Mus musculus: one gene and its partners. The protein of the gene in region 4 interacts with the protein of the main gene of each other region in a biochemical or structural test. Links are inferred from orthologs where the notes say so. Each region holds a gene or a part of one and is shown on either strand. Other genes may lie near its edges. The genes, in order: Ipo11, Ubr7, Trim32, Ube2e1, Rnf167, Ubr5 and Rnf14.

Region 1 (4,192 bases), on a different chromosome or scaffold from region 4:
GAGGGTTATTCATCTAGCTGTAAATATTTGTTTTGTCAACAATATGCACCTGCATCTTCCATTCAATACTAGTCAAAATTAGTACTTCTGAATACATCCTAATTTGGGGTCCTAGTATTCTAGACACACTTTGTGTATGCTTTTGTTGTTGTTGTTGTGTGTTTTTTTTTTTTTTTTTTTTTTTTTTTTGAGGCAGGGTTTCTCTGTGTAGTCCTGGCTGTCCTGGAACTCACTCTATAGACCAGGCTGGCCTTGAACTCAGAAATTCGCCTGCCTCTGCCTCCCAAGTGCTGGGATTAAAGGCATGTGCCACCATGCCCGGCCTGCGTATGCTCATTTTTTAAAATTAAACATTTCCTAAGATTTACAAAAGACCTATGACTCCAATAAAAGAGTTCTATTTTTCAAAATTTCTCTTTTTAATAACTACTTAATTCTTTCTTCCCACACTAACTATCGCTTGTCTCTCTACCATTGGACACATCCTCTGGGTGGTTGGCAACATTAGCATCAACGGGAATGTGGATACATTTTAGACCAACCATGTAGCTGTGAGTTTGTGCTACACCACTTTGTGCTCCCAGAGGATCACGCACTTCCACCCACTCTCCAGGAACTCTTTGGATTCTGGAATGAAAGCCACACACACATTAGCTTATTTTTGAAATGCCTTTGGTTAACTCAATGACTGGGCACTCCTAAACCTTCCCAACAGAGACTATATGCATGTAACCCTAACACTTGAGAAGTGGCGGCGTCGGAATTTGAAGGTCATCCTCAGCGATGCCAGCCTGGGGTCCTGAGACCCTGATTAAACAGCAGAACTCTAGCGGGGCGTGGTGGCACACACCTTTAATCCCAGCACTCGGGAGGCAGAGGCAGGCGGATTTCTGAGTTCGAGGTCAGCCTGGGCTACAAAGTGAGTTCCAGGACAGCCAGGGCTATACAGAGAAACCCTGTCTCGAAAAAACAAGAACAAAAAACAAAACAAAAACCAGCAGAACTCTAACCCCCACCCCCCAAAAAAAAAAAAAAAAACCAAAACCAACAATGCTCATCCAAATACCTATGGTGGCAGAGTTCATCAATGGGATTCTTTTGATGACCCTCTTCTGCCGTGACAGACTCCTAAACCAAGTAGCTGACAGAATAGTGAAGATGCAATGAATGGTTTTGACTTAGGCTTCGATCAGCGCAGGAGACTATCGATTTTCTCCGGACCTACGGTTTCCATAGTTACAGGGGCCCCTAAGCCGGCGCCTTGCTCCGGGTACCACGCAAGCGCACACAACCCTATTGGCTGCCGCGCGCCTTCGGGTTCGAACTCGAGTTCCTCCCTCCCCTTCCCTCCGCCGTCCTATGGCCTCCCTCCTCGGCCTCTCGGCGCTCTGGGAACCTGTGACGTAATTTTAGCGCGCCCTCGTCGTTTGGAGTGGCGACGCGGAACATGGCGCGTTCCTAGAAGCCGTTTTCGGCATCAGTAGGCGGCAGCGTGTGGACTAGGAGCGTGGGGGACGAGGAAGCAACCAACGCCGCTTCGTGTGGACAAGTGGAAAGGGGCGGGCCGGGCGGTTCCGGACCGAAGCACGCGGTGAGGCCCGGCCGCGAGCCGCGCGGATGGAAGGAAGGAAGGGAGGAGTGGGCTGGGCAGCGAGAGACCCCGCGCCGAGGGCGGAACGCGGGGTCCCGCGGAGCTGTGCGGCGTGGCCGTGGGCCCTCGCGGCTCTGGTGTAGCCCGGGCGAGCACGGGCTCCCGGGCTGTGGGAAGCCTCTGGGTGCTGGGTCCACGGTGCGGCGTGGCAGGGTCTGAGTGACAGGCTGAGCAAAGGCGAGGGTACCTATTGTGTCCCCTGTCGCCGGCCAGGGGGCTGTATTTGTCCTTGGAGGCTTTGGGCTGCACAGCACGAGGGAAACGTGTTCCCCTTCCCAAGACCGGTGTGTGGAGTTAGCTGCACACGCGACCTTGCCGTGGAAGCTGTGCTTTGGAAAGCTTTAAGCATTCCGATCGTTCCTTCACCTTTAAGGAAAAAGTGAAGGGACTTCAACATCAATTCTCCGAGAGGAGATTCATGCTGAGGTATGGCCGCCAGTGCACAGGCTCAGCGACTCCTGCAGCTTTACATTTGGGAATATTTGTGATTCAGCAAAATTATTTCGAGGCCCATAGCATTTGCTCTTTTCCCCTTAATTCTCTTATTGCGTGGTCAACGTGAGAATCTTACAGCAGAGTGATTTTTTTTTTTTTTTTTTTTTTTTTTTTTTGCGTACATAGCAAAGACCGGTAATCTGGCTTCTGGTGCCAAGGTTGTAGTTGGCACACCTCTTCTCCACACGTTACAGGAGCTCTGTTACATGCGATAATGCCTTTAAGATATGCTTGTTGTATAGAAGGAAGCAAGGAAGAGCAGTTGGCAACCATATATTTTAACCTCTCGTGGACTGAGATTTTTCTCTTCCATTTCCACATTATTTCAGAATTTTGTTCTTTGGTTAAGGGCAGAATGACTTCATTATATGAGCTTGATAGCTTTCTTTACATCATTACCTACATGGCTTGATAGCTTTCCCCACATCTTTGTTCCACACAGAGGAAAATTTTGGTAGAATTAGAATTTTTTTTTCCTGCTGGTGGTAGGATTGCAGACTTTTTTCTTCTTCTTTGGGTGTTCTGATGGTGTCTAGCATAAACATTTTAATTTATTTTGTGGACATGTGTAATAGCTATAGGGCAGGAGGGCATTTTTTTTTGCCTTGATTACACTTCTTAAAGCCAAAAGAGAATTCTCAAAGGAATTTGGTTGTAGTAATATGGATGGAGGTTCCAAAGCAGTGTGCAACAGTTATTTGGTAATTAAACAAGTCTTTAGATTTTGTGATATTATGAAATGTATTTACATTCAGCACCAAGCTAGAAGGCAGAATAGTACTTGTAGTATTTGGATATAAGATATACTGAAGATGTTTCTCAAGAATACAGATATCCATTTTTAGGCAAAGGTAATGTTTAATTATTTTTGTTTTTGTTTTTTGTTTTTTTTTGATTTATCTTTTAAAAGCTAAATCTTTGTTTTTTTTGTTTTTTGTTTTTTTTTGGTTTTTCGAGAGGGTTTCTCTGTATAGCCCTGGCTGTCCTGGAACTCACTCTGTAGACCAGGCTGGCCTGGAACTCAGAAATCCGCCTGCCTCTGCCTCCCGAGTGCTGGGATCAAAGGCGTGCGCTGCCACGCCCGGCTTAAAAGATCTTCCTGTGTCCTCTTGTCTGTGCTGTTCCTGAAACAGGCAGAAGAGGGGCTTGGATCTTCTGGTAATGGAATTACAGGTTGTGCCCCACCTGACCTGTGTGCCTGCTGGGAATCAAACTTGGGTCCTTAGGATGTGCAGCCTGTGCCAGGCCATCTCTCCAGTCCTGATTAGTTTGTGTTTGTGTGTGTGTTGCATGGGCATATGTGTATATTTAATCTTTGTTCTGATTTATTATCATCATCATTACTATCTCTGAGATAGACTTTGACTGTGTAGCTTTAGTTTGTGTGGACCAGGCTGGCCTTAACTCAGAGATACCTTAGTGCATACCTCTTTTCCTTAGTGCTGGGTGTGTGTTGCCACATTGGGCTTAATTTAGAATTACTGTTGGTAAGTTAAATTTTTAAAAAAGAGTTATTTATTTTTATTTATATGAGTACACTCTAGCTGTCTTCAGACACACACCAGAAGAGTGCATCGGATCCCATTACGGATGGTTGTGAGCCACCATGTGGTTGCTGGGAATTGAACTCAGGACCCCTGGAAGAGCAGTCAGTGCTCTTAACTGCTGAGCCATCTCTCCAGCCCCAGTTTAAAAATTTTTATCTTTATTTTATTTATGCAGTGTTGGGATTGAACCCAGGGCCTTGTACATGTTTTATCATTAAGATATTTACTATTTGTGCATCTTCAGTTTTGACTTTTGTTTTGGTTTCGTGGTGTTGGAGGTAGAACCCAGGGATTTGCACTTTACAGCTGCATTAGAGTCCCCCAGCCCCCTTCCTTTCTTTGTGCATGTGATGGGTCTAGTCAGCTAGTTTCGGGGTGCTTTACACAGTGGCTGATCACATCTCTTGCAGGTGTGCTTCTGGAGTGCCTTTTGTTTCATTTTCTAAAGATGAGCCTGACTACCAAGTAAGCCTACATTACAAGCTTTGTAGAGCCTAGG
Region 2 (4,270 bases), on a different chromosome or scaffold from region 4:
CCAGGGGATTTGATGCCCTCTTCTGGCCTCCGAAGGCACTGCACATAAGAGGTGTACAGACAAGCATGCAGGTAAACATCCATCTTTAAAAGCAAACAAACCCCAAGCCACCAAAATTAACAGTTAATTTCTACAACAGGAGAGGGGGTGAGAGAAAGTAAGAGGACGGGAAGGGCTGTAGTGCTTTCGGACATTATATAGCCCTTAAACTCTGGCAGCACAAGATGGCAACGTAAACATTCCATCAAGGAAGGGGGGGGCTCATGAGGCGCCACCCCTCTCAGAGGAGCGGTTGGCGGTTAATGGGGGGCGGGGGAGTCATTGTTTTTCTTCAGTGGTCTAGTCACTGCTGTGTTGCCCTAGTTCCAGTAAATATCATACAAATATCCTTAAATAAATCCAGTGACAAAAAAAGGCCGGAAAGAAAGGCGAGGAGCCCTGTCGAGAAGGGTTCAGCGGGGGATAGAGACCATGACCTGAATGCATTAATACATGAATGAAACGATCAATTAATTTAAGAATACCAAAAAGCTAAACTAAAAAGAACTCTTTTACTTTCGAAACAATAGCTACAAAACTGAGAGGGTTAAGATTCCCTAAAACAAAGTGGGCCTCGGTCATTCGAAGCTCTCCTCATTCTGTCAAACACGTTTTCTCGTTTCTAATTTCACTCCTTTCCGTTTTTCAACAACCAGGTCTACCTTCCCGCCCTTTCGGGTCTTCGTGCCAGCTAGCAATGGTTACAGACCGCCACTTTCTCTGCCTATCTTAATCCTTTGCGTTCTTTGCAAGGGAGTCAAGCTGACTTCGTCCGTTGACCAGTCCCTAGTCCAACGCTCGCCACGGTTTTTTTTTTTTTTTTTGGTGGGAAAAGTCGCAAAAACGGGGGGCGGTGGGATATCAGACAAAGAGGGCAGCGAGTTCTAAGGATTTTTAGAAGCGATTGCTCCTCTTCTCCGGGGCTCGCCTTCTCTAGCCTGCCCTTCACACTGCCCGGTCCCGCCAGTGTCCCCCGGCGCCCCGCCCCCGCGCTCACCATCCAAAGCGTCGTCCGGATCTTCCGCCAAGCCTTGCGCGTCCTGCTCCACTAGGGTCCCGAAGAACTCCGCTACCAACTCCTTCATCCGGACCACGCCCGCCGACAGGCTCTGGAGAGGGTCCGCGTCTCCCGACGCCTCACAGGACACTCGTAGCCGCTGCGGCTCCCCGTCACAACCGACGTACTCGCCCGAAAGCTCCATGGCGACCACTCAGCTTCAACAGCGCGCCTCGGAGAAACGCCACCCGGAAGCGGAAGCCAGCCTGCGGCCGGGGCGGGCGGGAGAGGCGAGGAGGAGGAGGAATGACTTCCGATTTCCCGAAATTGGCCCGCCCATTTTCTTCCGTGTCCTTCCTTAGGATTGGCTGTCTGGTGCTCGGGCTCCGCCTCCTCACGGGGCCCCGCCTTCTCGCGACGCCCCTGGCGGCGGCCACTTTTCCCGCCTCCTCCTGGGCCCACGCAGCGGAGCCCGGTGACAGTTGAGGATGGCCGGAGCCGAGAGCCCCACCGAGTGCCAGGCGGAGCTGGAGCCCGTGGTGTCGCTGGTGGACGTGCTCGAGGAAGACGAGGAGTTGGAGAATGAGGCGTGCGCCGTCCTGGGCGGCAGCGACTCGGAGAAGTGCTCCTACTCGCAGGTGCGCGCGGCCCGGCTGCTCCCGCCGTCCTGTCTGTTTCCCGCTGGCCGCGGCCGGGCCCACTCACGGCGGCCCTTTACTCTGTGCTTCTACAGCCCCGGCCCGGCTGCCATTTCATCCTCAGCTTGTCGCCACCAGGGCTGTCCCTCGGTTCCGCTGATGGTACACTGCAGGCTCCGGTCCTCCAGTTGTCGCCTCTTGGTGGCCTGCTTTTCACGAGGTTGTTCTCGTGATCTCTCAAACCCAGATATTCTTCGCTCCACTTCTCCCACCGCCCAAGAATCTTAATTAGGGACCAGATGGGGAAAAGTAAAGGGAAAGTGGGCCGGCTTTGAAAATCTTCCGGTGAGGTTCGGCTTCCGGACACTCCTGTAGTCTAGTTTAACTGCTAGCTGCCCCCACCTCACCCCCTTTCTGGTTAAATGAAGTTTCGTGTGTATGTGCTATGTGACATCCCCTCTCTCTGGGGACTGGAAAGCCAAGAGGAGAAAAGGATCTGTTTGGCATTTGTGGGACCTTTTGAACGAGAGAGTTTGAGGGGCTGAGATGTAGTGTTTAGTGACGCATACTGTACATTTAAGTACTAACGTGGAAAAGGGTGGGTAGGAAGGAAACTTAACAACAAGGATGAGAATTGGTGGAAGGAAACAGGCTAACTATGCCCATGGGTGGAGTGGGAGACTGGGGTAGGAGTGAAGGGACTTGGAGTTATGGTGTGGCGTGGACTGAAGTCATAATACTAGTTGTCTTCGTTGACCAAGTTGGGTTTGCACTGTAAAATTGTTGAATAAATCTTGTATCCCAGAAGTAGTCACAGCATGGTCGCTGGTATTTAAATTTGGAGGATCATTGTTAGGTTTCAAACCCTGGACTCTGCTGTTGTGCCTATTTAACATATCAAAGCCGATGGTGGCCTCCTGGTTCTCCCTGCCCTTCTGTCCCTTCCGGGACTCTCCTGGCAGACATACCCAATCCACTTTCCCAGACTTCTCCAGCCCAGGAGCCGGGCTACCCTTCCCCCAGCTTCCCTTCCCTAAATAATGCAGCCGTTTTGTTTATGCAGCTCTCTTGGGTCTCCTGGCTGTAGCACCTGGCTCCCCATCCCTATCCCCTACCCTTCCTTGCTCTTCTCCCAGGGCCCAGTTCAGAATCTTTAGCCTCTGGACTCTCCTAAAAGTCCTTGCCTCCGAGCTCTTCCTTTTATAGTAAACTTTTTCCTTCAACCTCCCAAGGAACAGGCATGTCCTTTCCTTTTTATTTCTCTTTTTCATTGTGACCATTAAACCACACACCCACCCCTTCATTGGAAGAAAGAAAGAAAGATCCTAAGTCTGTATGTAAGCTCTTTATTAATATACTTATTTTTATACAATACTAACTAAAATTGGGGGTAGGATCTTATGTCCCTCAGATCTGCCTTGAATTTTTGACTATCTTCACTTCCCAAGTGCTGCTGGTATTACAAGTGTGTACCACCATGCTTGGCTTAAAGTCTTGTTTCTGGTGAATTTTGTTTTTGTTTTTTGAGACAGTCAGATTGAGTGGTTCTAATTGGTCTGAAACTCACTATGTAGGCCAGGCTAACCTTGAACTCACAAGGATCCACCTCCCTCCCAAGTGCTAGGATTAAAGGCCTGGTCCTAAGTTTTTGTTTTTAAATAGTCATATCTCTATATAAGTATATCAATAATAATAATTATTTTCTTTTAGTTTTTTTGAGACGGAGTTTCTCTATGTAGCACTGGCTGTCCTGGAACTTAGAAATATGCCTCCCTCTGCCTCTCAAATGCTGGGATTAAAAGTGTGTACCACCACTACCACCTGGCAGTCTTTTGTTTTGTTAGATTTTCAAGTATTTGTGTGGCTATGTGCATGTGCGCACAGATGCTCTTGAGGGCAGAAGAATCTGATCCCCCTGGAACTGGAGTTGCAGGGGGTTGTGCGCTGCCAACACGGTACTAGGGACTCAATGCTAGTTCTCTGAGAGAGCAGTATGTGCGTTTAAGCTCTGGGCCATCTCTCTCTAACTCCAGGTTGATTTTAACAAGCTTGCTTACTGATGTGTGTGGGCACATGTACCACATAGCATATGCAGACAGGCATCAGGGAACAGCCTTATGGAAGCGGTTGTCCTCACCACCTCTGTATAGGTTCTGGAGGTGGACCGAAGGTTTCCGGGCTTACAGAGCCAGTGACTTTACCCACGGAGCTATCTCGCTGGCCCGGCAAATTCTTTAGTAAACTAGGAGCAGATTGAAATAGAATAGAAGTGTGTGTGGTAGTTCACTGGCAGGCTCAGTAAAGCATTTGCTGCACCAGTATGGACCTGTGCTCTGTCCCCTCTACCACGGCCCTGTGTGCTGAGAATCCCCTTACCAACACTTCTAAGTTTTGCTATTTTTCCTTCAACATTTTAAAACATTTGTCTCTGTTGAACACACTTGCCCTTTTTTATACTTCATTACTTGACAGTAAGTAGTGGGCATAATTATACTTCTAGATGCTTCCCCATACATCTCTCCCCAAATTAAAATGATTAATTTTTCTGTATGGTTGAATTATAAGAATTTCTAAAATAAGAAATGTGAGGGCTGGA
Region 3 (4,217 bases), on a different chromosome or scaffold from region 4:
GTAGATGGGCTACAGCAAGATAGGGAAAGTTCTTTTATCTTTTCCGGATGTTATAACATTCTTAGTGGAAGCTCATAGTCTTCTAACTTTAACTATACATTCCAATGGTTTACCTTATAGTCAGAAGATTGTTAGGCCAGAGTCATAGGTTGTTAATAAATGGCCATTAAGAGAACTAAAGCTAGCCCAAGATAAATTGACTATGTGTCTACAATATGTTTTATCCTTTCCCAGTTCTAGGTATTTGGTCAGTCCATAGAATTGCCAGCACAGATATAATTTCTTCAAGGAACTTTGAGTCACATATTCTCTGGGAAAGCCTTGGGAGTTCTGGGTGCCTGGGTTGGCTCAGGGCTCTAGAATTATCTGAGATATCAAATTGTACTCAGAATGTATAATCAGGAAATCCGGCCAGGGATAAAATCATGTGAGAACTCCTGAATCACTGAGAAGAGAAACAAGTTGGAGAATGAATAGCCTGGTTCAGAGTTCCATCAAAATCGATGCCAGGTGTATACCGAACCTTGGACAAGATGTGTGGGACAGGGGCGGGAGTGAGGTGGGGGAAGGGGATAAATTTACTTTTCCCACCTTTCTGAGTTATTAGTAACTCATCAAAACAATCCTTAACTTTATTTTGAGATAAAGAAGTAGAAAAATGAAGTTAAGAGTGATTCTGGGAAATTAAAGCCAGGTTCTGACAGGTAGAAACTGGTTACTTTGCCTTTTAACCCCTAGGTCTCAGCTTCTTTTCAAAGTCTGTAGTCTGTCGGAAAGTGTCTAAAGGTATTACTGTTTTTGTTTTGTTGTCTTATCATTGTGCAGAGGGTACACAGCTAGGTGGAATTTCAAATATGAGAGCATAATATTTCAGATTCCTTCATATTCCTCACTAGTACTGTGTGTTTATCGCATTCAGGAGCAGGTATTACCTGTCCACAAACTACCTTCAGGACCAGGAGGTCCTGGCCACAAAACCTCCCGTCTGACAAGGCTCAATGCAGGCTTTTCCCTGTTTCTCCCTCTGCTATCCGCCTCTGCGCTGTTTGGCAAAGAAAACGTCTTTCCTAAGGGGCATGTGTTCAGTGACTCCACTTTGGGATGTGTCACAGGCAGAAACACCTAGCCCGGGGACCTGCAGCTCTTTGAAGGGAGTGTGCTTGTCTTCTTCAAAGAGGCGTCTGTCTGCAAAGTGCCCGAACTTTCTGGAGACTACTACTGGGGGATTAGCATTGACTAACCATGTTTAGACTCTGAAACGGGGCAGAAAGCTGCAATGGCCTAGGTTTCCGGAGCCATCCCTATCTATTCAGCTGGGCCGCGGGCGCTGAGCCCACAGACCTACAAGCCCCAGCATGCCTCGGGAGGCGGGGCAAGTTGACGGGCAGGCGACTGTACGAATTGGCGACTGCCATGGGAAGGACGTGCTAGCGCATGCGCAGAAGGCAGCGGGCGGGTGGGCTGGCAGCGGTGGACTCGCGTCGGAGCTGCGGGCGGTCAGGTAGGGGGCGGGAAGGAGGGTCTGCGACCAGGGACTGTGGTGGGTCGCGGGGATCCAAGATTGAATGGCAGGATTTGGGGACTGGATCGGAGTGGCAGGATCGGATTCGGAAGGGACGGGCTCAGGAGCGATTCGGCGGAGATGAGATGCAGCTGGGGGAGGGGAGCAAAGGGGCTGAGGAAATTTGCAGTTGCAGCATGTCGGGAGGTATGAGGTAATGTGGGGGCCATGCGGAGAGACGGGGTGCAGCATGTGGGAGATGGGAGGATCTGACGTCCCTGGAGGTATCTGGGTGCAGAATATCAGAAAGCATAAAGGAATTTGGCAGGCCTGGATGAGGTTGGGTGTTGGCGGGCAGAATCTTAGGGGCTTTGAGGAGATCGGTGTAATGATAGCAAGATCTGAGATCAAAACAGCCAAGGTCTTGGAAGATCCTAATTGCTGAAGAGAAAGGGATTTCTGTAGCGGAATCTGGGAAAGACTGAGGGGTGAGTTCCCGAGGGAATCAGTACCCAGTTAGAAAATCGCAGCAAAGGTTTGAAGGCAACACGTGAGGCAGGACGGGGGCGGAGGTGGGGGGCGGGGGTTGGAGGTGGCCCAGTACAAGATGGGGATGATGGGCAGATGAGCGATCAGATTGAAGGAGGGCAGAAATCTGAGGTACAGGATTGGAGTTTGGAGATGGCATACAGGGGTGATAGATGTGGGAATTTGAAAATAGATTAAAGGATGTATTGGAGGGATGAGGGACACATAAGAGCTATTGGTGAATTGCAAGGCTGCAGCATACAGTCTAAAAGGTTGAATGATAGATTTGGGATTTAGCGTTGAGAATGAGGTTTGTGGAGAATGAATGGTGGGGAGTGAATGCTGTAACTAGATTATAGAATTCAAAACCAAATGAAATTTGTGAGTAGGTTCTTAGGAGGTTTTTGTTTGTTTTTGTTTTTGTTTTGGTCTTGGCATAACTGAACCCAGAGGGTCTTCTGGAGACCCAGGGACCTGAAAGTAATTTATAAATAAACTATGTATAAATGAATGGAATTTAGGAGAATGTAAGGGTTTGGGAATAAAGACACCAGTCTTCAGAAATCCTGAAGGAGAGTTTGACATTCTTTGAAGGGCAGATTCTTCCTCACTTACTAACTAAAGGCCCTTTAATCCTGAGGCAGGCATGTATTCTGACTATACCCACTCTGACCACCCCCACCTCCTCATCACAGACCCGATATTATAGGCCTTGGGGAAGAAGCAGTGAACTACCTAAGGGCTTCTGCTACCTAGCCTTTTCCCTGTCCAAGGTATGAGCCAAAATGATCTTCAACCTAATATTATCTTATAGGAGGTCCATTATAGCTCACAGAGACAATGGTTCTGGGTGAGAAACAAAACAAGGTTGGAACAAGGCGGAGCCTCCTGTCTACTGAGTATTTAGCCTGTGCCATTACCTAAAGCCAGGGTTCTCAGACAGGGTGCTTTTGTTCTGCCAGGAAACATTTGACCGTGTCTGGATGGAGGCATTGTCAGTTGTCATAGTTGAGGGGTTGTGTGTGTGTGGGGGGGGGGATACTTGGGGGGGGGGATACTGGTTTCTAGTGAACAACCCCTACAATAAACTATCATTTAGCTAGAAATGGCAGTCATGCCAAAATGGGTCCTGGCATCAGAGTCAAGAATGCTCTGGTTAGATCCTGGCATTATTTATTTATTTATTTGTTTATTTATTTATTTATTTATTTTTCTCTTTCTGCTTTGTAACCTTTAAAGAGTCAATTGACCTCTCAGTGCACAAGCTCTTCAGGGACCTACGTCATAGAATGGCTGTGAGGACTCAGTGTACTAAATCAGGGTGCTTACTGTTTGGTGCCCAGTAAAAGTGCTCAGAATTTACTACTTTTGAAAATATGTGTGCTTTCTTCTCATGATATTCCTTCTAAATATACATTCACTGTTCAGTGTTACCCACGAAACTAAGGCTTAGGAGGTCACTTGTCTAAAGCCACATTCCTGCCATGTAGCTCCCCGCCACATCCTCTCTTCCATTGCTGGTTTGCTGCGGTCGGCTTGGTCTTCCCTTTGCAGCCTCTCCTAAGGAAAGGGAGGCTTGCCCCGTAGTCAGAAGCTGGGTGACTTCTCTTGATTAAGAGAAGCCCTGGACTTTGTTCTTGCTTTGCTCTTAGACCAGAGCCAATGGGGAGATAGTGCAAGGAGCTTGGAGCTACACGGCTGAGATAAGGAGGGCTCAGGCTCAAGGGCAGTGCTAGACGGAAGGAAACTGCTCTGAATGTTCTCCTTTGTGCATCTTGTCTCTGGCACAGAAGGGCAGCATTGTCTTTATCAACTCCAATCCTAGCTACGCTACAGAAGGCAGTTTAGAGAACAAAATTAGACTGGAGCTGAGGGCAGAACACTTAGCTGCGATGACATCAACTCAGATCGCTTAGGAAAACACCTGACGGAGGTTGAGTTGGCCGTGGAATCGGCTGTTTTACTGCTTGCTTGGTGGTCAAGCACTTGCCAGCCTCTGTCTGAAAACACAGCGAGCTCGGCTGAGTGCTGATTAATGTGCATTCTCTCCATAAGGCCCACAATCTAAATGTTACTCCTGATTCTACAAGGCAGAAAGTGAAGAGCCACTTGTTAAATGACATATCCTGGGTTACAGAGCAAGTGGCTAATTTGGGCATATAAATCAGAAGTCACATGCTGGCAAGCC
Region 4 (4,138 bases):
GGAAGCAATGTCAATTTGAATGAGGTAATTTAAAGTGGACCATGGAAATTCGAGTGCTGTTGTCTGCTCAGTACACAAGATCTCTGTGAACTTGGATGGCAGGGGTCTGTTCCCTTCAGGGTAAACGGCAAACTGGTAAGAAACTAAGTCCTAATTTAATGGTGGAATTAAAAAAAATAAATTTCGGTACAGTGCCACACAAGGAACAATTTAGTGGCATTGTTGTGTGATTATCCTAAAAATATTATTTGAATAGCATCATATTGGAGTAAAAAGAAAGTAGGGTGCTTTCTAGAACTTTTTTTCCCCATTACTAAGACTCAGACATATCTAATTTAAGAATTCCAAATCCTGAGGCAGGCGGATTTCTGAGTTCGAGGAGAGCCTGGTCTACAAAGTGAGTTCCAGGACAGCCAGGGCAAGTCCTGTCAAAATCATTGGCTCAAGGTTTATTTTCAGTGATCTTATAATCCCAAGCCCGGTCGTAGTTACCTGTCCCGAACCCCAATTGCATACATTAAAAAAAAAAAAGTCCACATCCTTTTCAATAACAAGTGAAAGGGGAAGGAGGGTGGTATCTAGTATAAAATTGCACATGCCTGGTGTCCTGAACAGAATCCCAGTCTGGGTTTTTTCTCACAGGCGTGACCTCTGCTCCAAGCACGTAATTGCCAGAGGGAGGAACAAGTGTCATCAGCTCAAAGGAAAAACCTGTTAGGGGTCTTTTCCTTTCCTTTCCTTTCCTTTCCTTTCCTTTCCTTTCCTTTCCTTTCCTTTCCTTTCCTTTTTCCTTCTCTTTCCTTTCCTTTTTCCTTCCCTTTCCTTTTTCCTTTCCTTTTCCCCCTTTCCTTTCCTTTCCTTTCCTTTCCTTTCCTTTCGTTTCTCCTTTCCTCTTTTCTTTTCCTTTCCTTTCTCCTTTCCTCTTTTCCTTTCCTTTCTCCTTTTCTCTCCTTTTCTCTCCTCTTCTCTTCTCTTCTCTTCTCTTCTCTTCTCTTCTCTTCTCTTCTCTTCTCTTCTCTTCTCTTCTTTTCTTCCATTCTTTCTTTTCAAACGAATCACTTTTGGGGAGGAGTCAAAGTCCTCGCCAGGAGAGTACCATCTTTTCCCCACACCGGCCCCCTCACTCCCCAGCCTTTTCCCAAAGCCCTCCTGGGAAGAACTTCCCCTGGTCACCCCGGGCTCCACCTGCCCCAGTGGCCCCCAATCCCGCCCGGTTGCCTCGGCTCCGCCCGGCGCGGCGTCCCCAGGCCAAGCCGGGGTCGCTCGGGGCTCCCGGGCCGCGGCCCCCAGGTGCGGCGGGGGAGGGGCGCGGGGCGGGGCGGAGAGGAGGAGTGGCGCGGAGCGTGTGCGGCCGGGGAAGCCATTGCCTGGTTAATAGTTGCTGTTGCTGCACTTCCGCTTCTCTCCCAGTGAGAGCGAGACACGAGTGGCCAGGCCCAGTCGCAGCCGCAGCAGCAGCCGCGGCGGCGGCACGGAGCAGCCAGACACAAAGAGAGGTGCGGGGGCCCCTCAGGGCGGGCGGGCCGCGGGGCCTGGGGCCGCGGGGCCGGGGGACGGGCGGCACCGCCGGGCCGCGGGCAGCAGGGCCGGGCGACCGGGATGGCGTGGCGGGCCCGGGCGGCGGGGGCCGCGCGAACTGTCAGAGCGGCCCGGTCCCCGCGGGGACCCGCCCGCCCGGGGCGCATTGTGCGCGTCGGCCTGCGAGCGCAGCCCCGCGTGGCCCGGCCTGGCCAGGAGCCGTGTCCCCGCGGCCCACGCGGCCCACGCTCGGCTTGCTCACCCACTCTCGCTGCTCGGCTCGTCCCGACCTCGCCAAACTCGAGCGGACGCCGGGAGGCCTGGGGGACCGCGGCGGCGGCTCCCGGCCCTCCCCGGGCCGCCCCCGCGCGATCGTGGCCCCCGTGTCTCTTCGGCCGGTGCGGCGGTGGGCCCCGAGCCTCTGCAGGCAGCGGGGGCGGCCCGGCCCGCGCCCTCCTGACAGCGGAGTTCCTTCCCTCTTTGCAGCGCCTGCATGGTCTGTGTTTCTGTTTTGTTTCCTCCCCCTGCAGGGGCCGTTCGCGGGGTGGGGTGGGGGGTTCGCTATGTCGGATGACGATTCGAGGGCCAGCACCAGCTCCTCGTCATCTTCGTCCTCCAACCAGCAGACCGAGAAAGAAGGCAGCACCCCCAAGAAGAAGGAGAGTAAAGTCAGCATGAGCAAAAATTCGAAGCTTCTCTCCACCAGCGCTAAGAGGTATCCCACTCCTTTCTCCACAGGCATCCGAGCTTCCCAGTGGCCTCGTGCTGCATGTCAGGGAGGGAGGCTTCAACGACGTTCTCGTGAGTTCTCAGGCAGGAAAATGGGGCATGGGAGTCCCACCTGTTTTCTCTACTGCTCGCTGCTTCTGGTTTTGTTAGTGCCCTCGTCCATATGCAGGAGTTGTGGTTGGCCTCGTCCGTTTCTTGTTGAAGTTTCAAGAATCCTCATTACTTTTATGAGTGACTCCCAATGTGATTTCAGAGTCTTCATCCTAGTAATCACGAATCTCTGACTTCCCGGAGGCTGTCATCATACTTCATTATTAAGAGTACCTTCCTGGGCAACTCTGTTAAAACTAGTTCTGACCATCTTTCTTCCTCTTCACCTGTTGCAGGGGTGGTGTTTTCTGAATAGGGTTTTCTCCATACATCGCTTAAGGAATAACTAACTCTCATTAGCGGTTAAAAGAATGTCATGTTTTCTGGCAGAATTTGAAGAACCTTTGCCTGTTTGGAGAGTTAAGGGAGATGAAAGAATCAGTGAATAACTGTAAAATTATTTCAGTTATTTTTGGATTTTTTTTTTCTTTTCTGTTTAAAAACTTCAGTTTGACACTTTTCAGAAAGACTTGTTTTACTAGACAAGGTCTCTTTTGGCCCAAGCTGGCCTTGAACTTAGCACTTCTATCTCAGCCTCTTGATTGTTACAGAAGTGAGCCACTTAGTTCACCCAGCGATAATCTCTCTCTTGTGTAAAAAAAACCAGGTGGATAATTTACCTCTGTCAACCTTAAGTCACATTCTCTGATCCTGTGTTCCTTAAAATAATCTCTAGTAGATACCTGGGAGCCTGCCTCTCCTCTCCTTTCATACCCCCTTTTTTTGTTGAGATGGTTGGCCATAGTAAGGAACAGAAACTCGGCTGCTGGGGAATGGCATTCTTTAAAGAATTTTAAATGAAATGGAAGGTCTAAATGGCTTCGGGTCTCTCTGCTGAGTAGTGAGCCTGGAACTCAAAGATTGTCAGTTTGTTCTGTTGTTTTCCCTGAACTGAAATTCAGAAACTTGGTATGCTGTCTTAGTGAGCTAACTGGACTGATAGAGTAACTTCAGGTCATTTTAAATGGTTGCTGTTGAGGTCTGGAGAGATGGTTGATGCTTTGGTAAAACTGTTATCAGTTTCAGTGGTCTGATTATATCTCAGTCTCTCCAGGGTCTTTGATGAACCCCTGTGAATCTCCCAGAACCTAGATTCTATCCTTCTTGCTCAGGATGGCCTTTCTTGATCAACCCCGGCCTTGAGCTCTCTGTTCTACTTTTGACCTGTCCTGCCCCAGTGCAGGACATTAGCTGTGATGTCACTCCTGCCCCAGTGCAGGACATTAGCTGTGATGTCACTCCTGCCCCAGTGCAGGACATTAGCTGTGATGTCACTCCTGCCCCAGTGCAGGACATTAGCTGTGATGTCACTCCTGCCCCAGTGCAGGACATTAGCTGTGATGTCACTCCTGCCCCAGTGCAGGACATTAGCTGTGATGTCACTGGGGCTTTTACGTTGTGCTAGACATAAGGAGAAAATGGACAGGTATACAAAGTAGTTTTCTTTTTGTCAGTATAGTACAAATAAATAGATTTTCCCATAGACACAGCTTGTGTATGCTTAAGGAACTTAGAAACTTAGTTCTGGGCATAGTAGTACAGGCCTTTTGTCAGCTCAGCCCTTGGAAACAGAAACAGACAGATAGATGTCCTGTGAGTTCAAAGTGAGTTCCATGAGAGTCTGTCTCATGAACAAAATGCCAAACAAAAACATGTAAAACTATTTGATAGCTTGGATAGTAGTGTACTGGCCTAGCAGGCTTGAAACATCATCAAGAATGGTAAGCCCAGGAGTAATGGT
Region 5 (4,072 bases), on a different chromosome or scaffold from region 4:
GGCCTGGCGCAGTAGACCAGCTGACAGCCTGAAGAGTAGAAATGTCAGCACATCAGGCCAAGGTCTGGACCTGCCAACCAACAACTTCCCTCCCCAACTTGAGGCCACAGTACCCAGTGTAAATGCCCTTCAGGCCTTCTGTCTTCAGGATGCTGGTGAGGGCATGGAAACTGGTTTTGTACTCTCGAGTCTTGGCCCCTTCACCACTCAACTGCATCCGGTTCTTCACCAGGTCCAGGGGCTGCACAAAGACTGTAGCACCCATCCTGAAGTGAGGCAGGAAAGGGAATCAGAGGTCAGTGGTTCCAGCTCTACTGCAACCTGGCAAGAAGTTACAAAGGTCAGGGCCACTAAGGATTCAGGAGGCTGGTGGGCATGTGTGTTAAGTGTGTGCATCAAGGGCAACGTGCCAGCAAAAGAGTCCAGTTGCCCAGTAAGGGGCATGCAAATCAAAAAGCCTCAGGCAGTTCTTTAGGGTTCAAGCAGAATTAGGACTACAGGCGATCTAAAGAAAGGTGGAGAGGGCGTCCCCATCCTAAGACTCCAAGCAGTCCTATAACAAAGCCTTTAATGACCTATACCCACCACCCAAACAGGCACAACGAAGCAAAGGTGGTGGAAACACAGGGTAAAGATCCTTGAATGCAGCACAGTTGGGTCCCTGCAAAGGATGAATAGATCCTGGCAACCCATCAGGGACCCTGCACCGGCTCAATTTACTGCAACACACCCCAAGTTACACTGGGCCCAGGTGCTTGCTCCCGTCCCTTCCTCCTTTTCCCCCATCACTGGGGCCTGAGCTTACCCAGCCAGGCCCCCAAACAGGAACTTGACAGACTTAGGGGAGGTACGGGGTTTCCCGTCCATCCGGCCAGCCCCAGGACTCGCCGTCGCCGCCATCGCCCCTTGATGGCCCTCGGCTTTGGGTCCCGTGCACGTACAGCCCCGCTCGCGCCCAAGGTGACACCAGCGCGCAACAGGGTGAGGGCGCGCGCGCGCACGCCCCTCCGACAGGCAAATCTGGCTCCAGCTGGAAGCTGGGGCGGGCGCAGGCTCGGAGCGCAAAGGCAGCCGGGGAATAAGGCGGGGCTAAGATGCACGATGAAGGGGCGTGGCCGATTTAGGAAGCTACCCTAAATTCCCGCCCCTCCGGAATTGGAATCGCGGGGAAAAAAAAAAAAAAAAAGCTTGTTTGAAAACCTCGCGAGAGCAAGTGAATCAGCCGAGTTCGGGCTATGAGGCCTCTCGCGATATATTTCAGCGGCGAAAGGGGGTGGGGGGGTGGAGGGAGGGTGGTGGCAAGCACTCTCGCGATACTTTGAACGTACCGTGGCGGCCAGACGAAGGAGAGGTTTGTAAACAGGGCAGCTCCAGGATCTCAGGGACTGAGGGAAAAAAACTAGATCGTCTCCTGAGCATCGAAGCTCCCTCCATCTCCGCAGGCTCCTTCTACATGTCAAACATTTCTTTCAACCGGCCTCTCGGGACCGGAAGTCCTCCGTCCTGAGCGTCCAATACTGGAATTGGCCTTTCTTACCGGAAACCCTTTTCCAGGGGCATAGGAAGACAGTCTACCTGGCCGGAAGTCCCACCTCTTTGAGGTTTCTCCTACCCTTCCGGAAGTTTTTTTGTTGTTGTTGTTACCTGTTTGCCTTCGCTCCTATTCTGTCCTATTTCTGTACTAGAGAAAGATACATTGTCTCCCCTACCAGCTCCGCTAAGCTGGTTTGATAGCTCACTCCCTGAATCGGAGTTCCTTCCCCGACGCCCCCATGTAGCTGAGAAGTGGGACCTAGGGGTGGTTGGACCCCTGGGATCCTGAAGGAGAGGCAGAGGAGGGCGCAGGACTCGGCTTCTGCTCCTGCGATCAGAACGCGACCTTCGCAGCTTTACCCCTCCCGCTGCCATGCACCCTGCGGCCTTCCCGCTTCCTGTTGTCGTGGCTACTGTACTGTGGGGAGCAGCCCCTGTCCGAGGGCTGATTCGAGCGGTGAGTCTGAGGGTCGGACGGGGACAGGGTGCTGAGAATGGGGTTCAGACTGAAACACGTAGTGTTCCGTCTGCAGACTTCGGAGCACAATGCCAGCATGGACTTTGCAGACCTTCCAGCTCTGTTTGGGGCCACTCTGAGCGACGAGGGACTGCAGGTGATGTTTTCCCCATTTCCCTATATGGATCCTGGGTAGGGGCGAAGTGGCCGTGCTCAGGAGGTAGGAAGTAGTGGAGTTAGCAGCGGAATGCAGTGGACTGCGGATAGTTCAATGATAGGGTGCTTTTTCTAGTATGAGTGAGATTCTAGGTTGAATCTCCAGCAAAAAAAAAAAAGTGTCCCCAATCCAGAAAAACCTAAGTGCATGATCATGTCCAGCGCGCAGAGTCCAGAATCCAGAGATAATAGATAGTGCCCACCTCTAGAACTTAACATTTTTTATTTTATATGCATAGGTGTGAGAGTGTCAGATCCCCTGGAACTGGAGTTACAGTCAGTTGTGAGCTGCTACATGGATGCTAGGAACTGAACTCCGGTTCTCTGGAAGAACAGCCAGTGCGCTTAAGCACTGAACCATCTACAACCCCTAGAACTCCCAAGTTTAAGAGGGAGTCTGAGAGTGGGCTAAGATAAAAAGCAGGTGCTTATCAGCAGTCTCTGGAGCAACTTACTGTTTGTATAGATGGCCATGGACAGCTTTTTATGGGTTCTGAGTCAAATGAGAAATAGAAATTAACCTAGGGCTATCGTGCCAGTGTGATAAGCATGTCTGTAGTAGTTCACTACAAAGTTCATGCCACATAGCAAGAATTCATTCGGCCACAGTTAGCAGTAGAGTTGTAAGATGGCTAATTGGAAAATGAAACTTGTTGAAAATGCCATGAATGAGTAGCAAGGTGAACCACTATCGGTGGGAAACTTAAAAGCAGAACTAAACTACGCTTGAGAAGTTAAGGGAGCCTCTGGTAAGGGATGTAGTTTACTGTAACTGCATCTTCAAGAAAGCTGAGAGATCCCTTTTCTTTTTTCTTTTTTTTGAGACTGGACTCTGGAACTCTGGCTGTCCCCAACTCACAGTAGTCTCAAGTGCTGGGATTAAATGCATGTATCACCATGTCTGAGTTGTAGATTCAGTGTTGGGTGGGATGCTCAGACCTCCAGAATGAGCAATGATAGAGCTGCAGAATGCAGGTAGTATATAGTGTTATGTGTGGTAGGTCCTGTGGAAGACAGAACTAAAGATGAAAATGTTTGCCTTTATCCCTCAGGGGTTCCTTGTGGAGGCCCACCCAGAAAATGCCTGCGGTCCTATTGCCCCACCACCCTCAGCCCCGGTCAATGGGTCAGTCTTTATTGCACTGCTTCGAAGATTCGACTGCAACTTTGACCTCAAGGTTGCTGAATGGGGAATGGGAGGTGGTAAGCAGGGTACATGACACCAGGAATGAAGGGCAAGGGTTACAGCTCTATCCCTCCCGCTTGGCCTCCTTAGGTCCTAAATGCTCAGAAGGCTGGGTATGGTGCAGCTGTGGTGCACAATGTGAATTCCAATGAACTGCTGAACATGGTGTGGAACAGCGGTAAGGAAGAAGCCTGCACTACTGGGTGCACCGTGGAGTTGAGTGGGAGGGCAATTGGTTGAGATCTGCAAAAAGTGCCAAAAGCCAGTTTCAGGGAATTGAGGAACAGAAGGCTAAATCCCTAATATCCTGCTCCTTACAGAGGAAATCCAACAGCAGATCTGGATCCCATCTGTATTTATTGGAGAGAGAAGCGCAGAGTACCTACGAGCCCTTTTTGTCTACGAGAAGGGGTAGGACGCATGCTTTCTTCCAGTTCTTCTCAATCCACTCAGGCTCAGGCTCTTCCTCGGCTGCCTTGACTTTCTCCTCATTATGCCTTGTCCCAAGCCAGTAACCCTATTTTACCTGGCTTGAGGTTGTGTCTCTCTCTCCTCAGGGCTCGGGTGCTTCTGGTTCCAGACAACAGCTTCCCCTTGGGCTATTACCTCATTCCTTTCACTGGGATTGTAGGATTACTGGTTTTGGCCATGGGAACAGTATTGGTAAGTAGCTGAGGAGA
Region 6 (4,027 bases), on a different chromosome or scaffold from region 4:
TTGGTTTTTTTTGAGACAGGGTTTCTCTGTGTAGCGTTGGTTGTCCTGGAACTCACTCTGTAGACCAGGCTTGCCTCGAACTCAGACATCCGCCTGCCTCTGCCTCCCAAGTGCTGGGATTAAAGGTGTGCGCTGCCCTTGCCACCACCACCCCCCAGTAGAAATGTAGACTCTTTGGTGTCCTTTTCTTCCATCTTCTAAAAGGTTTCATGTGGCTTATAGCTCAGTGGTTTGAGGAGCACTGTGGCTTAAAGTCACAGCAGAAGAAGAGGGTTTACAGATGAGGCTGACATCAACCTTGGTGGTGACAGGTCACTCTCTCTTACTCATCCAGAGTCAGGATGACCCAATTAATTGTACAGGTTTGTAGTTACACAAAAAGCTTTAGTTTCTTGTTAGGAATTAGATGTCTTAAATTTTAAAGTTCAATGTATCTCTGTTTATATAAGCTTACTAGTATTCAAAAGAAACAACATCTAAAACAACACATTGAATTTATATTCTCAGGAGAAAATGCTGAGAAGCTCCTCCAGTTCAAACGGTGGTTCTGGTCAATAGTAGAGAAAATGAGCATGACAGAACGGCAGGACCTGGTGAGTGAGAAGTCTCACAAAACTTGTAGAGTGAAATGCAAGGGGTCTGCTATGCTTTGTTGTTTGGTTTTGTTTGTTTTTTGGGTGTGTGTTTGTTTTCGGGGATGGGATGGTGGGTCTCTCTTGGAGAACAGTTTACGGATAAAGGTTCTGTGAAGTCTGCCACTTTGGTTGATCATTCATCCCACTCCTTCCCTCCTCTCTTCCATTTCTCCTGTATGTATTTTATCTGCATGTCTGTCTGTGTACCATATGTGTGTGGTGTCTTCAGAGGCCAGAAGAGGGTGTCAGATCACCTGGGCCTAGAGTTCGAGTTCTGAGTCATTGTTTGGGTCCTGGGAATGAAACCCAGAGCTTTTGGAGAAGCATCCATTCCCTGCTGACCCAGTCTCTAGCTCCATCTCAGTCTGGAATCTGTTTCCAGTAAGCCTTTTCTTCCCTGTTAACTGAGTGGATGAGTCCGGCTATGTTCCTGGTTCTTTTGGGGAGGGTTTGTTCCTTCTTTTTCCTCTGTACTGTTCTAAGATGATGTTTCTTACACAATTATGTCTTAGAAAATAACCCCAATTACTTAAGTTTCTGAGTTACTCCGTAAAGTTATTAGATTTATTTCAGTGCTTAGTTGTACAAAGTAAATACCATAGATTAAACTCTGTCCTAGAAGATTGGTATGTGAATGTATAGAAGGATAGATCTTTCAGAGTATTTTATATTTATAAAGTACGTATTTCCGTAAAGAAGCATTTTTTTTAATATTTTGTAATAAATAGAGTAACATTAGACACTTACTGGGTATCATTGGCACTATGTGTTGTCCAAAATAAATTTTTGCTAGCATTCCATATGTCATTGTATGAAATTTCGTCCATTGTAGATATTTCCCAATATTCAGTTATTGTTATAAAATTACTGTGTATCATAATTAGCATCTTATTACTTTGCTAGTAGATAAAATATAAAATGGCTTTTTAACTAGCCTGGGGTTGTTGGTTAAAAAAGAATTTCTCTTTTTTCCCAGTAAGTTACTCAGAGATCTTAGCTATAGTAAAGGCTCTTAGTGATAGCTTGACACAATAGCTTCCTGTCTCAGATGAGAAAACTCGGGCCTCAAGACAGTTACAACAAAAAACCCATAATGTGACACCCTTTTTTCTCCCTTAATCCTGACATTTTTTCTTAAATGTAGTTTATTGCATTATAATTGATATTGGTCTTTTAGTATAAGAAAATAATTTTGAAACTAAGGGAGATTTTGTTAGTTGTTTTGAGATTATAATTACATCATTTCTTCTCTTTCTCTCTCCAAAGCCTCCCTTGCTCTTTTTCAAATTCAGGGTCTGTTTCTCTGTGTCTCTGTCTCCGTCTTGCTCTGTGTGCCTCTGTGTGCTCATGTTTCTAAACACATAAGTAAAGCTTGCTCAGTTTGTATAATGTTATTTGGATGGATGTATGTTTTAAAGGCTGACCATTTGGTATTCGATAACCAACAGAGTGCTTTCTAGGAAAGTCTATTTCTCCTGCTCCCCAAATTCCTTAATTGTTGATAGTAATGTGTTTATGGTTGAAGCCTCCTGGGCTTTCTCCCCATCCATATTAACATGCCTGTTGTTGTCCTTAGCTTATATTTAGGCAGTTGTGTTAGTGAGGCTTTAGTTTTTAAATTGGGTTTTACACAGTGGGGTTGTTTATGTTGCTGGAATTCAAGGTGACTATTAACCTATTAAAACCAACATTGTAATTATATATCCTTGTTTAGGTTTACTTCTGGACATCTAGCCCATCATTGCCAGCCAGTGAAGAAGGTTTTCAGCCTATGCCCTCGATCACAATAAGACCACCAGATGACCAACATCTTCCTACTGCAAATACTTGTATTTCTCGACTTTATGTCCCACTCTATTCCTCTAAACAGATTCTCAAACAAAAATTACTACTCGCCATTAAGACCAAGAATTTTGGTTTTGTGTAGAGTATAAAAAGTGTGTATTGCTGTGTAATATTACTAGCTAATTTTGTAGATTTTTTTTCCCATTTGTCTATAAAAGTTTATGGAAGTTAATGCTGTCATAACCCCCACCCCACCCCACCCCCGGTGGTACCTTAAAGAGATTAAATGCAAACATTCCTTGCTGAGTTTGTAGCTTAAAGGCCTGAGAAGCACTGGCACCTTTTCTCTATGATGGTTTGCTAGTCGCCAACTTCTAGGTCTAACCCCAGCCAAAGATGACAGCAGAACAACATAATTTACACTGTGATTTATCTTTTTTGCTGAGGGGGAAAAATGTAAAATGTTCTGAAAATTCACTGCTGCCTTTGTGGAAAGTGTTTCAGCAAAGGTTCTTGTATAGAGGGAATAGGGAATTTCAAAATAAAAAATTAAGTATGTTCTGTGTTTTCATTTTAGCTTTTTTATGGTGTTATTTGTGGTTGGCTGCAATTGTGTATCATGTATATGGAACTTGTAAAAAGTTCTTGACATTCGGATTTTAGAGACAAAACCACTTTTACCTATAAAAACCTCACTTTTAGTGTGGGTTATTTCAGCTACATTGAGCTCTAGGATACTAAATACACTAATAGTTTGCATGTAATGTGTTCATTTGAGAGAGGCACTTTTCTGTACATAAAATGGGCCGACGCACAGTACCTTGCCACAGTCACCTTTTTTCTTTGTACCCCTCTTTCAGTGCAGGTGGATAGGTCACACTGCACTTGAGTGCTAACCAGATGTCTGTACTAAGGTTATGTGTACTCAGCCTGGGCACTTTCTGATAACTGTAAAATGTTTTATAAGATCATGAATACTGAAAATTTTAAATTTTGGAGAATTTTAAATGTTCTTGAGCAGCTTAACTACTTTTGTATCTAGCCTTTTTTTTTAAGTATCTTGTTACATTTTACTTTTTTAAATAAATTACAGAAGAAATGTCAAGTAACATTGAAGAAACAGTTTTTATTTATATAGTTGTACATTTTTTAAGCTAGGGGCAATGCACTGACATGGTTATATTCATACTTTTTTTTTAAGTTTATATACATGTGAACTATAAGAAAGTTAAGAAAATCAGTCCACATTTTACAGTTAGCAGAGAATCCTAAATGGCACTCAGCCAGGCCTTTTCGTTTTACAAGTAGAAGTGTGATTAGTCAGCACAGAAGTTTTGAGTCAACTCCATGACAGGCATCCATCCATCTATCTATCTATCTATCTATCTATCTATCTATCTATCTATCTATCTATCTATCTATCTATCTATCTATCTATTTTTAAAGATGCTCTGTGGTCTGGGACCAATACCCTTACATTTGTGGACTGAGAGTTTTATTCAGTCAGATAACAAGGAATTAAAAGTCCCTACTAGGATTTAAATTAGTTACTTAAATATTCAAAAACAATTAACGATACCTGTCTTTTCAGTGCCTGTTTAGGACTC
Region 7 (3,500 bases), on a different chromosome or scaffold from region 4:
CCTCCCCTCAGAGCCATTCCTAACCAGCTCTAGTGTTCTTTCTCCTCCTCAGCACTTACCACTACTTACTGTGTTGTCTGTCAGCCCCACTAGTCTGGCAGTTCCACGAAAGGATTTGGTCTCTTCTGTCCATCCCTTTCCCCTAGAGCCAAGACAGTAACTGACAAAGCAACCCTGAATGAGAGCCAACCAGCTCTCAGCAGGATGTGTCAACACACCACATCTGCCATCAGACCCACGGTACACTGGAGCAAAAGTTGGTCATAAGCGGCATGCACCTCTGCTTCTAGTAGCTTTCTGCCTTTGAGAGGAATGCAAACTCTACAGGTGTGAGAGCTCTAAATGTATGGACGGAAGTTACGGGCCTTCACAAGGGAAAACAAAGGCTACTGGATGAGAGTTGGGTTCAGTTACAACATACCTGCAGTTACCTTACATGGAGAAAGCCCGTGATAGGTCAGTCTGCATAAGGTACAGAAGGCAAAATTGCAGCTGGAGCAGATAGCCATGGTACCACCAGGCTCTTGCATCACAGGGAGCTGGCAGCATGGACGGGGACAATACACCACATCTGCCATTAGATCCAAGGTAGACTGCAGGAGGAGACGGTCATAGCGAGCAAACAAGTCTGCTTCTACCAGCTCTTTGACCTGAGAGGGAATATAAAACACCATAGATCTGAAGATTTCCCAACTGGCTCTGATCCTATGAAGACTCTGAGGCTGCTGATATAAAATAGATAGGTACAAAAGTCACACCCTATTCTCATTCCAGAAGCAAAGCGGGTTTTGCAATAGTTTATACCCTTTTTTTTGGGTGGGGGGCAGAGGGAGGCATGGTTGAGATGGGTTTTCCTATGTAGTCAGACTAGCTTTGAATTTTCTGAAATCCACCTGACTCAGTCTCCTATGCCTTTCTCTGACTGAGGTTGTGATTATATGGATCTACATATTGGTTAAAACTAAGGCTGGGCATAGCACACTTTTAGTTCCAGCACTCAGTAGGTGGATCTGAGTTCGAGGCCAGCCTGATCCACAGAGCTAGTTCTAGGACAGCCAGGGAGGACTACACAGAGAAACCCTGTCGAGAGAGGAGAGAGAAAACAGAAATCTTATTTATTTATTTATTTATTTATTTATGTGGGGGTGTGGGTTAAAAGATGACCTGAGAGAGTTGGTTCTCTCCTAGGTTGAACTCAGGTCATCAGGTTTGGTGGCAAGTGCCTTTACCTGCTGAGCCATCTTAATTTTTTGAGATGAATCTCATGAAGCCCAAATTAGCCTTGAGCTTACTAAGCAGTCAAGGATGATATTGACTCTGGCCTCTACCTCTGGAGTACTGGGATTATAGGTGGTTGGGTGTCCACACCCATCTTATAGCACTCTTAATAGACACAATGAAACACCCGTGGACTGCATCTAAGGACTCGGTCCATCCCATGAGTACCATCACGAAAGTTTGTGACGGTTGGGGTGTGACTTAGTGGAAAAGGGCTTGTCTAGCATATATGAGGCCTAGGGTTGATCCTCAACACTGCTAAATAATATATTAAGTAAAATTCCCGTGGAAAGTGTGGTGGCAACCACCTTTAATGTCAGCATTTGGGAAGTGGAGGCAGGAGGATCATGAGTTTAGTCCAGTCTGGGATATACAGAAAGGAAACAAAAGAAACATTTCTGAGATGATTCCCTTTGTGAAAAGAACCTGGAGGGCACATGACATGGACAAGAGGACAGTACCTGACCAGGAGTCGCCACTGAAGGGCACTGTGGCTCTGGACAGTTGAGGCATTTAACTTGACCATCTTTGATCTGGATTTCAAAGTAATCCTTCAGACAGGCTTTGCAGTATACATGCTTGCACTCCAAGAAGTACATGCAATCACTACCCAGCTTCTCACAGAAACAGATGCTGCACAAGAACAGTTTACTATTGAAGCACTTCGTCTGCCGAGCTTGATTGAAGTCCAAGATCTCCTGGATCAGACTTGACAATGACTCTACATCCTGTACAGCTCTCTCATCCACAGTTTCTTCTTGGTCTACATCCGCCGCAGCAGCTCCTCCCACACCAAGCTCTGTGCTGGAAGAGGCCTGGGCTGTTGCCCTTCTCTGAACTTTTTTCTGAGACCCCATCTTGAGCTCAAAAGGAGAGACAATATTCAGGTAGGTGAGGGTCTCCTCCTTAAGAAACTGCATCCAGGCAAACAGCACCACTCTGCCTCGGTGTTCTTCCCACAGGTTGTCTAGGTGCTTGCAGAGAGCAGAGAGCTGGGAGAGAGCACATGAGGATGCTGAATTTGAAAAGATGATGATAGACCAGCTCCTGACCTGCTGAAGCTTATTTTAGCATAACTTCCTGAAATTTCTTTCTTACTTACAAAACAGTACCAACATTCTCACCAAATTGTTCAACTATCCAGGAACAGGAGCCAGAGTAAATCAAAATCAGAATCTAGAAGTAGCATGAAGACAAGAGGCTGCCACAGGACACAGAGCCAGGTTGCTGTTTAAGCTTTTAGAATCACTCTGCAGCTCATATGTCAGAAGGAACCTGGTTCTAAGGGGACTGTTTCTCTTAAGGAGCCTACCCTTCCTTGGAGGTGGTCTGGAGTGTGATTAGAAAGGGAACACGGCACAGAAGCATCCTAGCCTGCAAGCTCTCACTGCACTTGTATCTGGGTAGGAACATGTGGCAGTTACCTGTGTTCTCTTCCCCCACACCCTCCTGTTCCTCTTTTGGATTAACTGTACTTCCTATAATAAATCTATCTAACAGAAATGTGTGAGGCACATATGAACAGTAAATGGGCTGAAACCAAAAAAAAGTAAATAAATAAACAACAACAAAAGAATCATTCAAAACTGGGAACACAGCTCAACCGTAGAGTGCTTGTTTATCTAGTCCACAAGAAACAACAAAGCAAAAACATCCAAGAAAGGATAATGTCTTCAACACATGGCGCTGGAAAAACTGGATATTCACACTCAAAACAGCCAAACTAAAAGCATACCCCCAACACATACACCAGTTACAAAAATCAACTCAACACAGAGGAAAGCTTTTGTCAAAGTTCACAGCTTCTGCGGAGCACAGGGAACAATGGAGCGCGGGGGTGACCTACCAGGTGGGAGAAAACAGTCACGCTTCGTACAACACCCGACAAGGTAACACCCAGCATAGATGACAAATTTCAAAAGCACAAGTCTCCAAAATGCTCTGCTTTTTTTCCTTTCTGGTAACAGTGGGAATGGAATCCCGGGCAGATGCACTACCACGAGCCAGAGTTCTGAGTCTTCTCCTAACTTGGTACGCCCTTGCTAAGCCTGCCCAGGTTTGCCTTTTAAAACATCCTTGTTTGTATGTAGTTCTGTGTGGGTACAAACACGCACGTGCATGGCCTGATGTGAGGGTCAGAGGACAGCTGGCAGGAGTAAGTTCTCTCCTTCAACCCGTGGGTTTTAGGGACCAACCTCAGGTCATCAGGCTTCAGTGCCCTG

The links.
Region 1: the proteins of Ube2e1 (region 4) and Ipo11 form a complex in vitro, tested with the Homo sapiens proteins (2 studies listed by BioGRID). The link is inferred for Mus musculus from reciprocal best matches to the Homo sapiens genes UBE2E1 and IPO11.
Region 2: the proteins of Ube2e1 (region 4) and Ubr7 form a complex in vitro, tested with the Homo sapiens proteins (2 studies listed by BioGRID). The link is inferred for Mus musculus from reciprocal best matches to the Homo sapiens genes UBE2E1 and UBR7.
Region 3: the proteins of Ube2e1 (region 4) and Trim32 form a complex in vitro, tested with the Homo sapiens proteins (2 studies listed by BioGRID). The link is inferred for Mus musculus from reciprocal best matches to the Homo sapiens genes UBE2E1 and TRIM32.
Region 5: the proteins of Ube2e1 (region 4) and Rnf167 form a complex in vitro, tested with the Homo sapiens proteins (3 studies listed by BioGRID). The link is inferred for Mus musculus from reciprocal best matches to the Homo sapiens genes UBE2E1 and RNF167.
Region 6: the proteins of Ube2e1 (region 4) and Ubr5 form a complex in vitro, tested with the Homo sapiens proteins (2 studies listed by BioGRID). The link is inferred for Mus musculus from reciprocal best matches to the Homo sapiens genes UBE2E1 and UBR5.
Region 7: the proteins of Ube2e1 (region 4) and Rnf14 form a complex in vitro, tested with the Homo sapiens proteins (3 studies listed by BioGRID, with this or other methods). The link is inferred for Mus musculus from reciprocal best matches to the Homo sapiens genes UBE2E1 and RNF14.

What each region holds. Positions count from the first base shown.
Region 1 is NC_000079.6:106,934,159-106,938,350, reverse strand, and holds the start of Ipo11 (importin-11), read left to right. Parts: upstream 1-1,392; 5' UTR 1,393-1,591; intron 1,592-4,192. UniProt on the Homo sapiens protein: Functions in nuclear protein import as nuclear transport receptor. Serves as receptor for nuclear localization signals (NLS) in cargo substrates.
Region 2 is NC_000078.6:102,756,505-102,760,774, forward strand, and holds the start of Ubr7 (putative E3 ubiquitin-protein ligase UBR7), read left to right. Parts: upstream 1-1,470; 5' UTR 1,471-1,524; coding exon 1,525-1,674; intron 1,675-4,270. Other genes in the region: Gm20604 (AK010878-Moap1 protein), read right to left, coding at 1,037-1,241; EKC/KEOPS complex subunit GON7, read right to left, coding at 1,037-1,241. UniProt on the Homo sapiens protein: E3 ubiquitin-protein ligase which is a component of the N-end rule pathway. Recognizes and binds to proteins bearing specific N-terminal residues that are destabilizing according to the N-end rule, leading to their ubiquitination and subsequent degradation.
Region 3 is NC_000070.6:65,603,569-65,607,785, forward strand, and holds the start of Trim32 (E3 ubiquitin-protein ligase TRIM32), read left to right. Parts: upstream 1-1,417; 5' UTR 1,418-1,501; exon of another isoform or gene 1,502-1,715; intron 1,716-1,747; exon of another isoform or gene 1,748-1,989; intron 1,990-4,217. UniProt on the Homo sapiens protein: E3 ubiquitin ligase that plays a role in various biological processes including neural stem cell differentiation, innate immunity, inflammatory resonse and autophagy.
Region 4 is NC_000080.6:18,329,045-18,333,182, reverse strand, and holds the start of Ube2e1 (ubiquitin-conjugating enzyme E2 E1), read left to right. Parts: upstream 1-1,338; 5' UTR 1,339-1,496; intron 1,497-2,048; 5' UTR 2,049-2,081; coding exon 2,082-2,233; intron 2,234-2,256; exon of another isoform or gene 2,257-2,287; coding exon of another isoform or gene 2,288-2,319; intron 2,320-4,138. UniProt on the Homo sapiens protein: Accepts ubiquitin from the E1 complex and catalyzes its covalent attachment to other proteins. Catalyzes the covalent attachment of ISG15 to other proteins. Mediates the selective degradation of short-lived and abnormal proteins.
Region 5 is NC_000077.6:70,645,963-70,650,034, forward strand, and holds the start of Rnf167 (E3 ubiquitin-protein ligase RNF167 isoform 1 precursor), read left to right. Parts: upstream 1-1,272; 5' UTR 1,273-1,906; coding exon 1,907-1,990; intron 1,991-2,052; exon of another isoform or gene 2,053-2,066; coding exon 2,067-2,147; intron 2,148-2,445; exon of another isoform or gene 2,446-2,630; intron 2,631-3,258; coding exon 3,259-3,384; intron 3,385-3,482; coding exon 3,483-3,570; intron 3,571-3,712; coding exon 3,713-3,803; intron 3,804-3,949; coding exon 3,950-4,055; intron 4,056-4,072. Other genes in the region: Slc25a11 (mitochondrial 2-oxoglutarate/malate carrier protein), read right to left, coding at 1-28, 114-266, 806-900.
Region 6 is NC_000081.6:37,966,828-37,970,854, reverse strand, and holds the end of Ubr5 (E3 ubiquitin-protein ligase UBR5), read left to right. Parts: intron 1-507; coding exon 508-593; intron 594-2,349; coding exon 2,350-2,562; 3' UTR 2,563-3,527; downstream 3,528-4,027. UniProt on the Homo sapiens protein: E3 ubiquitin-protein ligase involved in different protein quality control pathways in the cytoplasm and nucleus. Mainly acts as a ubiquitin chain elongator that extends pre-ubiquitinated substrates.
Region 7 is NC_000084.6:38,306,635-38,310,134, reverse strand, and holds part of Rnf14 (E3 ubiquitin-protein ligase RNF14), read right to left. Parts: intron 2,271-3,500; coding exon 1,740-2,270; intron 651-1,739; coding exon 422-650; intron 1-421. UniProt on the Homo sapiens protein: E3 ubiquitin-protein ligase that plays a key role in the RNF14-RNF25 translation quality control pathway, a pathway that takes place when a ribosome has stalled during translation, and which promotes ubiquitination and degradation of translation factors on stalled ribosomes.